Linked DNA regions of Coturnix japonica. The protein of the gene in region 2 purifies or fractionates together with the protein of the main gene of each other region. This does not show direct contact. Links are inferred from orthologs where the notes say so. Each region holds a gene or a part of one and is shown on either strand. Other genes may lie near its edges.

The links.
Region 1: the proteins of ANAPC2 (region 2) and ANAPC13 purify together in Homo sapiens (affinity purification with mass spectrometry; 3 studies listed by BioGRID and IntAct, counting the BioPlex papers as one, with this or other methods). This does not show direct contact. The link is inferred for Coturnix japonica from reciprocal best matches to the Homo sapiens genes ANAPC2 and ANAPC13.

Annotation. Positions count from the first base shown.
Region 1 is NC_029524.1:2,642,866-2,646,380, forward strand, and holds ANAPC13 (anaphase-promoting complex subunit 13), read right to left. Parts: upstream 2,005-3,515; 5' UTR 1,894-2,004; coding exon 1,795-1,893; intron 863-1,794; coding exon 737-862; 3' UTR 625-736; downstream 1-624. Other genes in the region: CEP63 (centrosomal protein of 63 kDa), read left to right, coding at 2,283-2,326. UniProt on the Homo sapiens protein: Component of the anaphase promoting complex/cyclosome (APC/C), a cell cycle-regulated E3 ubiquitin ligase that controls progression through mitosis and the G1 phase of the cell cycle.
Region 2 is NC_029532.1:1,027,385-1,031,495, reverse strand, and holds the start of ANAPC2 (anaphase-promoting complex subunit 2), read right to left. Parts: upstream 2,926-4,111; 5' UTR 2,905-2,925; coding exon 2,824-2,904; intron 2,085-2,823; coding exon 1,462-2,084; intron 1,144-1,461; coding exon 1,011-1,143; intron 1-1,010. Other genes in the region: SSNA1 (Sjoegren syndrome nuclear autoantigen 1), read left to right, coding at 2,952-3,003, 3,083-3,282. UniProt on the Homo sapiens protein: Together with the RING-H2 protein ANAPC11, constitutes the catalytic component of the anaphase promoting complex/cyclosome (APC/C), a cell cycle-regulated E3 ubiquitin ligase that controls progression through mitosis and the G1 phase of the cell cycle.

The DNA of each region.
Region 1 (3,515 bases), on a different chromosome or scaffold from region 2:
GGCAAAATTGGTGTGATGGGGATGGAGCCTGTGATGGAGTGAGAGAGGGGAAGGGAAGAGAGAACAGAGACGGCTGCTGGGTACACAAAGCCACCACGCAGCTTCTAGTGTTTTCTTTGCAGGGAGAGGGAACATGGGGAGGATCAGAAATACCTCATTAAGCCCAAGCTCTGTTTTGCCCCCTGCTGAGATACAGCGAGGAGCTGAACTATTACAGTTCCCAGCAGCGTAGCTGTTTCTAAGGTCTATACTGTACATATGAAGCTTGGGTTAATCCTGAGCAGCCTGCTGGCTGCATGCAGCTCCTTCTTGTTCAGATGAGCTCACTGCTGGCTCAGAGCAGGCACTGCTGACTCCTCAGGCAGGGGCTGCCCCAGCCACTCAAACCAAGCATCCTCCTACTCAGCGCCCATGTCCTCACAGAACATCCAACGTGCTCAGCCAATAGGGATTTTGAGTAACCATCATTTGAGCACAAATCGCACCATTTAAACAACGTGTAAATATACAGTGGTCAGCACTGGCAGCGAACTCTAACACAAAACACAGTTATACCTCTTGGGACATAAACCTCCACGGTCACAAACATCCCATCCCCAGTTTTGACATATAAGAACAACTCCAGATGGTGAAAAAACACATTTTTTATCATGTGTAGAAAACACTTAAGAACAGAATTGGCACCAAGTAAAGAATAAGTTAACAGAGAATTTGTCGTGAAATGCCCCCGGATTCATCAGTTTCCTGTGGGAGGGACGTTTTCATGGAGATACTGCAGAGATAAATCCGTCCACTTCATTTCTTGCTCTTTCACAGACTCAGTTGTGCCTCCATTGTCTTGCTCTGGTTCAGGGAGCTCATTCTGAGAACGACAAGAAGAAAAAAGGTACAATGCATTCAGTGCATAACAAGCTGCCTAAAAAGGAGCTGGTGACGAAGACTTCCTATGAATAAATACAAAAAAATCCACAAATGAGACTGGAGGGGGCATCTGAACAATACATATCATACATCCAGATTCAGTTAAAATATTACTGAGCCCAGGGAGGAACAATGTGCTTTTCATATGATTATGATGCTTCATCTGAAAGGTAAATTGGCTTTCCAGGGCCCCGGGGCCTTGCTATGTACTCAGACTGCACACGCAGTGAAGGAGAATATAGAGAAAATGCAAAATAAGTAAATAATAACACGGTGCAATTATTCCATTGCTTGTTTAGATTGTGGTTCTTTGTTGCTGCCCAGAATACAGATACTGCATTTACCGTAGCTCTATTAAGACAGCTGGCTTTGTAACATATCGCTTTCTTATGGCAAGGTGAGAAATCCTTCCTCTTGCTGCATGTGGAGCTCTGCTGTGGCTGTGCTGTAACAACAGGAGATACAACACCAAGCTGCTCAGCATGCAGGGGGGAGGAAGGAGAGTTTAAATGCGATTTCATTTGACTTCCTCGTGTTATTTGCTCCCCGTGTTGCTGCATTGGTTATTATTGGTTTTGGAGGAGGGCAGCTGCTTCCTGCCTCCTCTGCTGAGAAGGAGCTGCTCTTCTTCCAAGAGTGATGCCACACTGTGCTGTAAGGGCTGAATGATGTCACTGCAATTTGGCAATGTCTCTTTGCAGGCATTATCAGATGCCGTGATTTTGGCCGGCTTACACCTGTGCGAACAGGGAAGGGGAGGATCCTCACCCAGAGGGTGGTGACGCACTGAACATGTTGCCCAAGGAGGCAGTGGATGCCTCATCCCTGCAGGCATTCAAGGCCGGGCTGGATGTGGCTCTGTGCTCCACCTACCAGCGGGATGGCCACGTCCTCGTACGGCAGCTTGTCCTCCCTCCACGCGTCATCGATCAGGTCCAGGATGCGGCCGTCCCGCTGCACCTCGCTGTCCATCCTCACCCTCCGAGGTAGCTCCGTACCAGCCCCGTCCCGCGGGGACTCGAGCGGCCCCAACGCGCTCGGTTCTGCCGGCAGCGCTCCGCCCCATCCCGCAGCGATGTTCCGGCGCCCGCTGTACCGTCATCACCCGCCGCCGCCTCCGTTCCTTCCCCTCCCCGGCCGGCAGCGCCCTGCGGGTGGGCTCGGTGCGGTCGGTGCGGTCCGCTCACTGTGCGGTACCTTCTTGTTCCGTACAACCAACCATTTCTCTGCCCCGTCACTTCGTGTCTCTGCCCTTCCTGCTGCCCCTCTATTTCCCCCACCTTTCCCCTCCCGCTGCCCGTGGATGCGGTGGCCGCTGCTTTGCGTGGTTTCCCCCCTGCTGACCCCGCCGGCGCTGGGTGATGGAGGCTCTGCTGGCAGGCATGCAGAGGAATGGCCAGGGGAGGTATGTATGTACGTATGTATGTATGCACCGCTGTGTGCCCGGCCTTTACAACAGCCTCACCGCGGGGCTTCCCTCTTAACGCTCCTTGCCACTCTTCTGCCAAGCTCCCATGGTGTCAATGAGACCCTCGGTACCTTCTGCAGGCGGATGGATGCAGCGCACAGCGACGTGGCTGCTTCGGCACTTTGCAGCGGTCCCTCAGCGCCTTGCAGTCTGTATTTTGCCTCTCTAAGAACGTTATCCCTTTGTTTTCCCCTTTAAAAAGCCCCCTCCTGCCTTGCAGTGCGGTGCTAAGTAGAAGAGTGAGTAAATCCTTTTCTTAAGAGCCCGGTGAGGTTAATGAGACATGCTGAGAGCACCTGATTACTTCCTGCTTGTGCTGGAGCTGCAGACACCCTGAGGAACCCTTAGGTGAAGGCTTGTGGGCTTGGAGATGGAATAACAAGGCTTCATTTATCAAACAAACACAAAACTAAAGGCACTGACACCATTTCCATTGCCGTCTTTGAGGAGGTGACTCAGTGCTGTATCTTTTGCAGTTAACTGGTTGTATAAATGCAGTCTAGACATAGCTGTGTATCAGCAGATGCTGAGCAGGAGGTGTTCTTGCTGTGCATAATAGCTGCTAATTTTTGGGTAACTCGCAGGCCGGGGTGAACATCCAATTTAACTGCTTTTGGCTGCTCTGAGAGCTACTTCTTTCCCTATAGAAGATCTGTCAGCTTGTGAAGGCTGGGTATGTATGCTCTGGGGGAGCAGGGAAATTTCAATCCCTTCACCTATTGATTTCCGTTCCTTTTCAGAGCCTTCCATTTGACAGTCAAATTAAATGGGTGAAGATGATCATGGAGTTCACAGCCCTCCAGGGCTGTATCTTGCAAGCCTTCATACCGTCCTTAGCTTAGCACTTGTGAAGTTTTACAGGGCTTGGTTGAATTGGCTTCAATAATTACTGCACAAATTAGAAGCTGCGGCATCGCCAGGGAGCGTGCTTTCCCCAATGGGTTGGGGATGTTTTATTCTTCATTATCATGTTGTCATCCAACCAACGTAGGGGTTTGTCTGCATTTGTGATATGCTTTTGTTTTCGGGAGCTGAGAGGTTTCTCTGGTGACTGAAAGGGGGTATAAAAGAGCATTAAGGGGAAATGCAAAGTATGGGCAGAATAAGTTGTGGTTTATTTAGGTAA
Region 2 (4,111 bases):
TAGGGAATGGGAGCAAAGTGCCAACTGCAACATCCAGATATTCAGAATAATTGGGTTTACTTCCTGCTTAAGGTGGCAAATGTGTAACACCACCTGAGGCAGCACCTGAGTATTAAGAGTTATGAGGCGGCGTTATGTTTTGATAACCAGCTTTAGGTGTGGTGTGCTGCTGTTAATGCTCAGCTGTTTGACCATGGACTGGAGGAGTGCATGAGTTCTGCCCATAGAACCACAAGGCAGAAGAATGTGCTGCAGCACAGAGCACCCAAGCACCAGACCTGTACTGGGAAAGCTGAAAAGCAAAAGGGAAGTGTGATCGTTGATGCAAAGCACCTGGATGGTGAGGAGCACCTTTACCCAGCCATTCTCCCCAGGAGTTTGTCTCTGAGTGCCCCTTTACAGCAGGGCCAGAGAAGAAAGTGTTGCACAGCAACTGTAGGGAAGCCAACACCAAATCACCGCCTGTGTTTGCAGACAACACAAATGCCCAGCACGGCACACAGCGAGGAAACCAGGACAACAGCACGGAGCTGCCTGGTTCGCATGGCAACCTGACCTCACACTTTGTTCGTCAGTGCAGACCAACGTAAGGCCATGCATCAAGGAACAAAGAGCACAGAGTGAGTGTGCAGAGCACAGCCCGTGTCCCAGAGCACAGCCCGTGCCCCAGAGCAGCCGTAACCTTGAGAAGAGCTTTAAGGTCATACACAGCAAAGAGCTCGACACAAACTCAGTGCAAGGCAGCAGCGAGAGAACTGAGGAGGCGTGAGGAAGGACACTGGGCAAGACTCTCCCTGGAGTCTTCTCTACTCCAAGCTGAACAAGCCCAGTTCCCTCAACTGAGAGAGCAGACCCTCTAACATTAATCTCAAATGTAAAGTTTTAACCACTCCTCTTCTACCAGGGCTGGTGGAAGTCACAGTCCAGGACTGGGGAATTGAGGCAGAGTTGGGAATTTAGCAGCAGGAACAGGAGCAGCTCCACATCTCCATAGCCAGGGCCTCCCTTACCTCCTGGAACTCGTTCAGGAAGGAGTGCTCATAATCACCCCGGCAGCGTCGCTCCATCCTCTCCTTGATCATCCTGTGCAGGATGGTGGTCACAGCATCAGCACTCACCCTCTCCAGCAAATTGAGCTGGCGGCTGCAGACACAGAACCTCGAGTGAGTGAGCAGAAGCAAAAGCATGAAGAGAAAACTGAGCTAACAGAGCACACCTGCTGCCATGTGCTGTGCAGGTGCTCTTAATTTAAGCACTCTGATTGCAGGCAGCAATAACACATCACACAGCTGCCATCCTATCTTCAGAAACACTGTCATAGGGTTATAGAATCACAGAATCATTTGAGTTGGAAGGGACCTTAAAGGCCATTAGGTCCCACTCCCTGCAGTGCACAGGGACACCCACAGCTCCATCAGTGCTCAGAGCCCCAACACCTGCCCTTGGCTGTGCCATACGTACAGGATGTCATTGAGCTGCCGGAACCGCTCCATGGCCGTGGGGCACCAGCACTGCTCCCTCCTGCTGCCGCAGCCCGCACACACCGCGCTCTCCCCTCCGCTCTCCTCCGTGTCACTCTCCTGCTCGGCCTCACTCATGCTGCTCTCACACTCATTCATTCCCTCTTCTCCCTTCTTCCACTGCCGCATGTATATCCGGAAGGTGCGGCTGTAGAACTGCTGGATCATCTCCTGGAAGGGTTTGGTGGTGGAGAAGAACAGGATGGCTTTGAACATGGTGTACACCTTCTCCCGCAGCGTCTGAGCTCCCGTCCCCAGGAGCAGCCCGGCCTTGGTGCATCCCTCCAGGAGCTCCATGCTGCTCAGGTAGGGCTCCAGGCGGCACTTGAGGAGACAAAACGCATCCAGGAGGAGCACTGAGCACTGCTGCTCCTCCGCCGTGTTCTCATATTGACCGACGCAGTTCCAGAACTCGGGGGCGATGTGTGCCTGCAGGTCGGTCTGCAGCACCTCGAGGAACCACTCCTCCACCGCAGCGTGCAGCCCGTAACAGCGCAGCACCTCCAGGGCGGCCCGCAGCTCCGCATCCTGCAGTGGGCGAACCGGGTCACAGCGCCCCGCTGCCTGGGGAGCAGAGGGGATGAAAGGTTGAGCACGGAGCACACAGCCAGACCTTTATGCCCCCATCCCTGGGCACGGTGCGGGGCTGGCAGCCCATGGCAGGGGGGGGTGGGCTGTAAGGATTCTCCCAACCCGACCATTCTGACTCTAGGCAGACACGTACCAGGGGGGACCCTCGACGTGTGGGCTGTGCCCATCCCACAGACCCAAAGCTACTGGATTAAAATCAGTTCTGTTGCTTGTATATGTTAACTACATTACATATTTAACGAGGGCTGCTCTGAAAGTGATGCCTCCTATTTTATTGTACTGGCCCACAGTGTCAGAGGGGGATGTGGGTAGGACGGCAGCCGAGGCTGAACCTCCCACCAATACACTACTGCTATGTGACGTACGGCAGCAAGGGGCAGTCTGACATGGAAGCGAATGGAGCACACGTCTCTCGTTCATCACAGTGCCGGCCAATTTGCTCTATTTACGCTCCCATCTCTTTGTATCTATCGCAGCTCCTACAGAACACAACAGGAGGCATCACTTTCGGAGCGGACCAGCACCACCTCTATGCCCTCGGACAAGCCGCATCCCGCACACGGCAGCGATGTGCCGGGGGGGGCTCAGCCCAACCACCCGCACAACGGCCACCGTTACCCCCATTACCCGCTGCTGGGGCCGCACCGTGACCCACACCCCCCCATCCCGTCCCGTCTATCCCCCCATCCCTTTGCCCCCTCTCCCCGCTCACCAGCCCCAGCGCTGCGGGCGGTACCAGGGCGGCACTGAGTGCGCTCCACGCCGCCGACAGCCCCGCACCCGCCGCCTCCATGTCCCGCAGGAAGGGGCGGAGCGCGGAGCCGCCGTTGGGGCCGCACGATGAGCGGAACCGGGGAAACGCTGCAGGGCTACAACGCTGCGCTGCTGGAGGGTGGGTGAGCGGGGACGGGAGGGGGGCAGCGAGCAGCCGGTGCTCACACGGTGATGGTGGTGGTGGTGGGTCCGAGCAGGGCTGGCCGAGCTCCGAGCACGGCGGGATGAGCTGAGCGAGAGGATCCGGGAGGAGGAGGCGGAGAGAGAACGGCTGCAGAGCCGCATCGCGGCGCTCACAGAGCGCTTGGCCCGAAGCTCCGAGCGAACGGCGCGGAACCTGGCTGCAAAACGGCAGCTGGAAAACAGCATCGCTGAGAGCGAGGCGGCTTATGGCAAGGTACGGCCATAGGGAACCCCATACACCAGGGGGAGACAGAGCGGGGAGGAGTTGGTGCAGACATTTGAGGTCAGGAATGGAGCTCTGAGCACTGATGGAGCTCAGGGTGTCCATGAGCACTGCAGGGAGTGGGACCTGATGGCCTTTAAGGCCCCTTCCAGTTCAAACGATCCCACGGTTCTGTGCCTGCTCCATTCAGCTGAGCTCAGCTCTTCATTCAAGCCCCACTCAGCACTTGAAGAAATAAAAGTTTCTCCAGGTGGTCGCCTACATTTTCCTTTCTCACATGTGTCTTTTGAAGTGCTGTAAGCACGGCATCCTCCTCACCCAGCCGGACCTGCACTAAACATGGGAAGTGCTGGGGGTTGGGAGGCAACCAGCTGCCACAATTCACTCATTAGTAATAAATATAAGTATATAAATAAATATTTGTGGAATATTTATCATCCAGCACTAAAAGAGAAGTTGGTTCAGCTGCCATACCCTGTGTAAACCCTGATGGACCCTCTGCATCTCCCACATTAGCTGCTAATGACTGTAAAGAGTCAAGACTTCCATCAGCACACACCCCAATGCAGCACACGAGGGGCACAGCCCAGCTGCCGCACTCAGCCAACACACCTCATAGGGCTGTGATGACACACAGGGATGTCAGACCCACCAGGACACTGTTTGGAAGGGAAGGTGATGTGAGGAAGCACTCCAGGACCCAAAGGTTGGGGAGAACTTGTGTGAGAATGGAACAGCTTGGAAGCGGTGTTGTAAAGTTACACCACAAACAGCACAGGTTGGAAAAGAAACCTTCCCTGAGATACAAACCACGACCCCC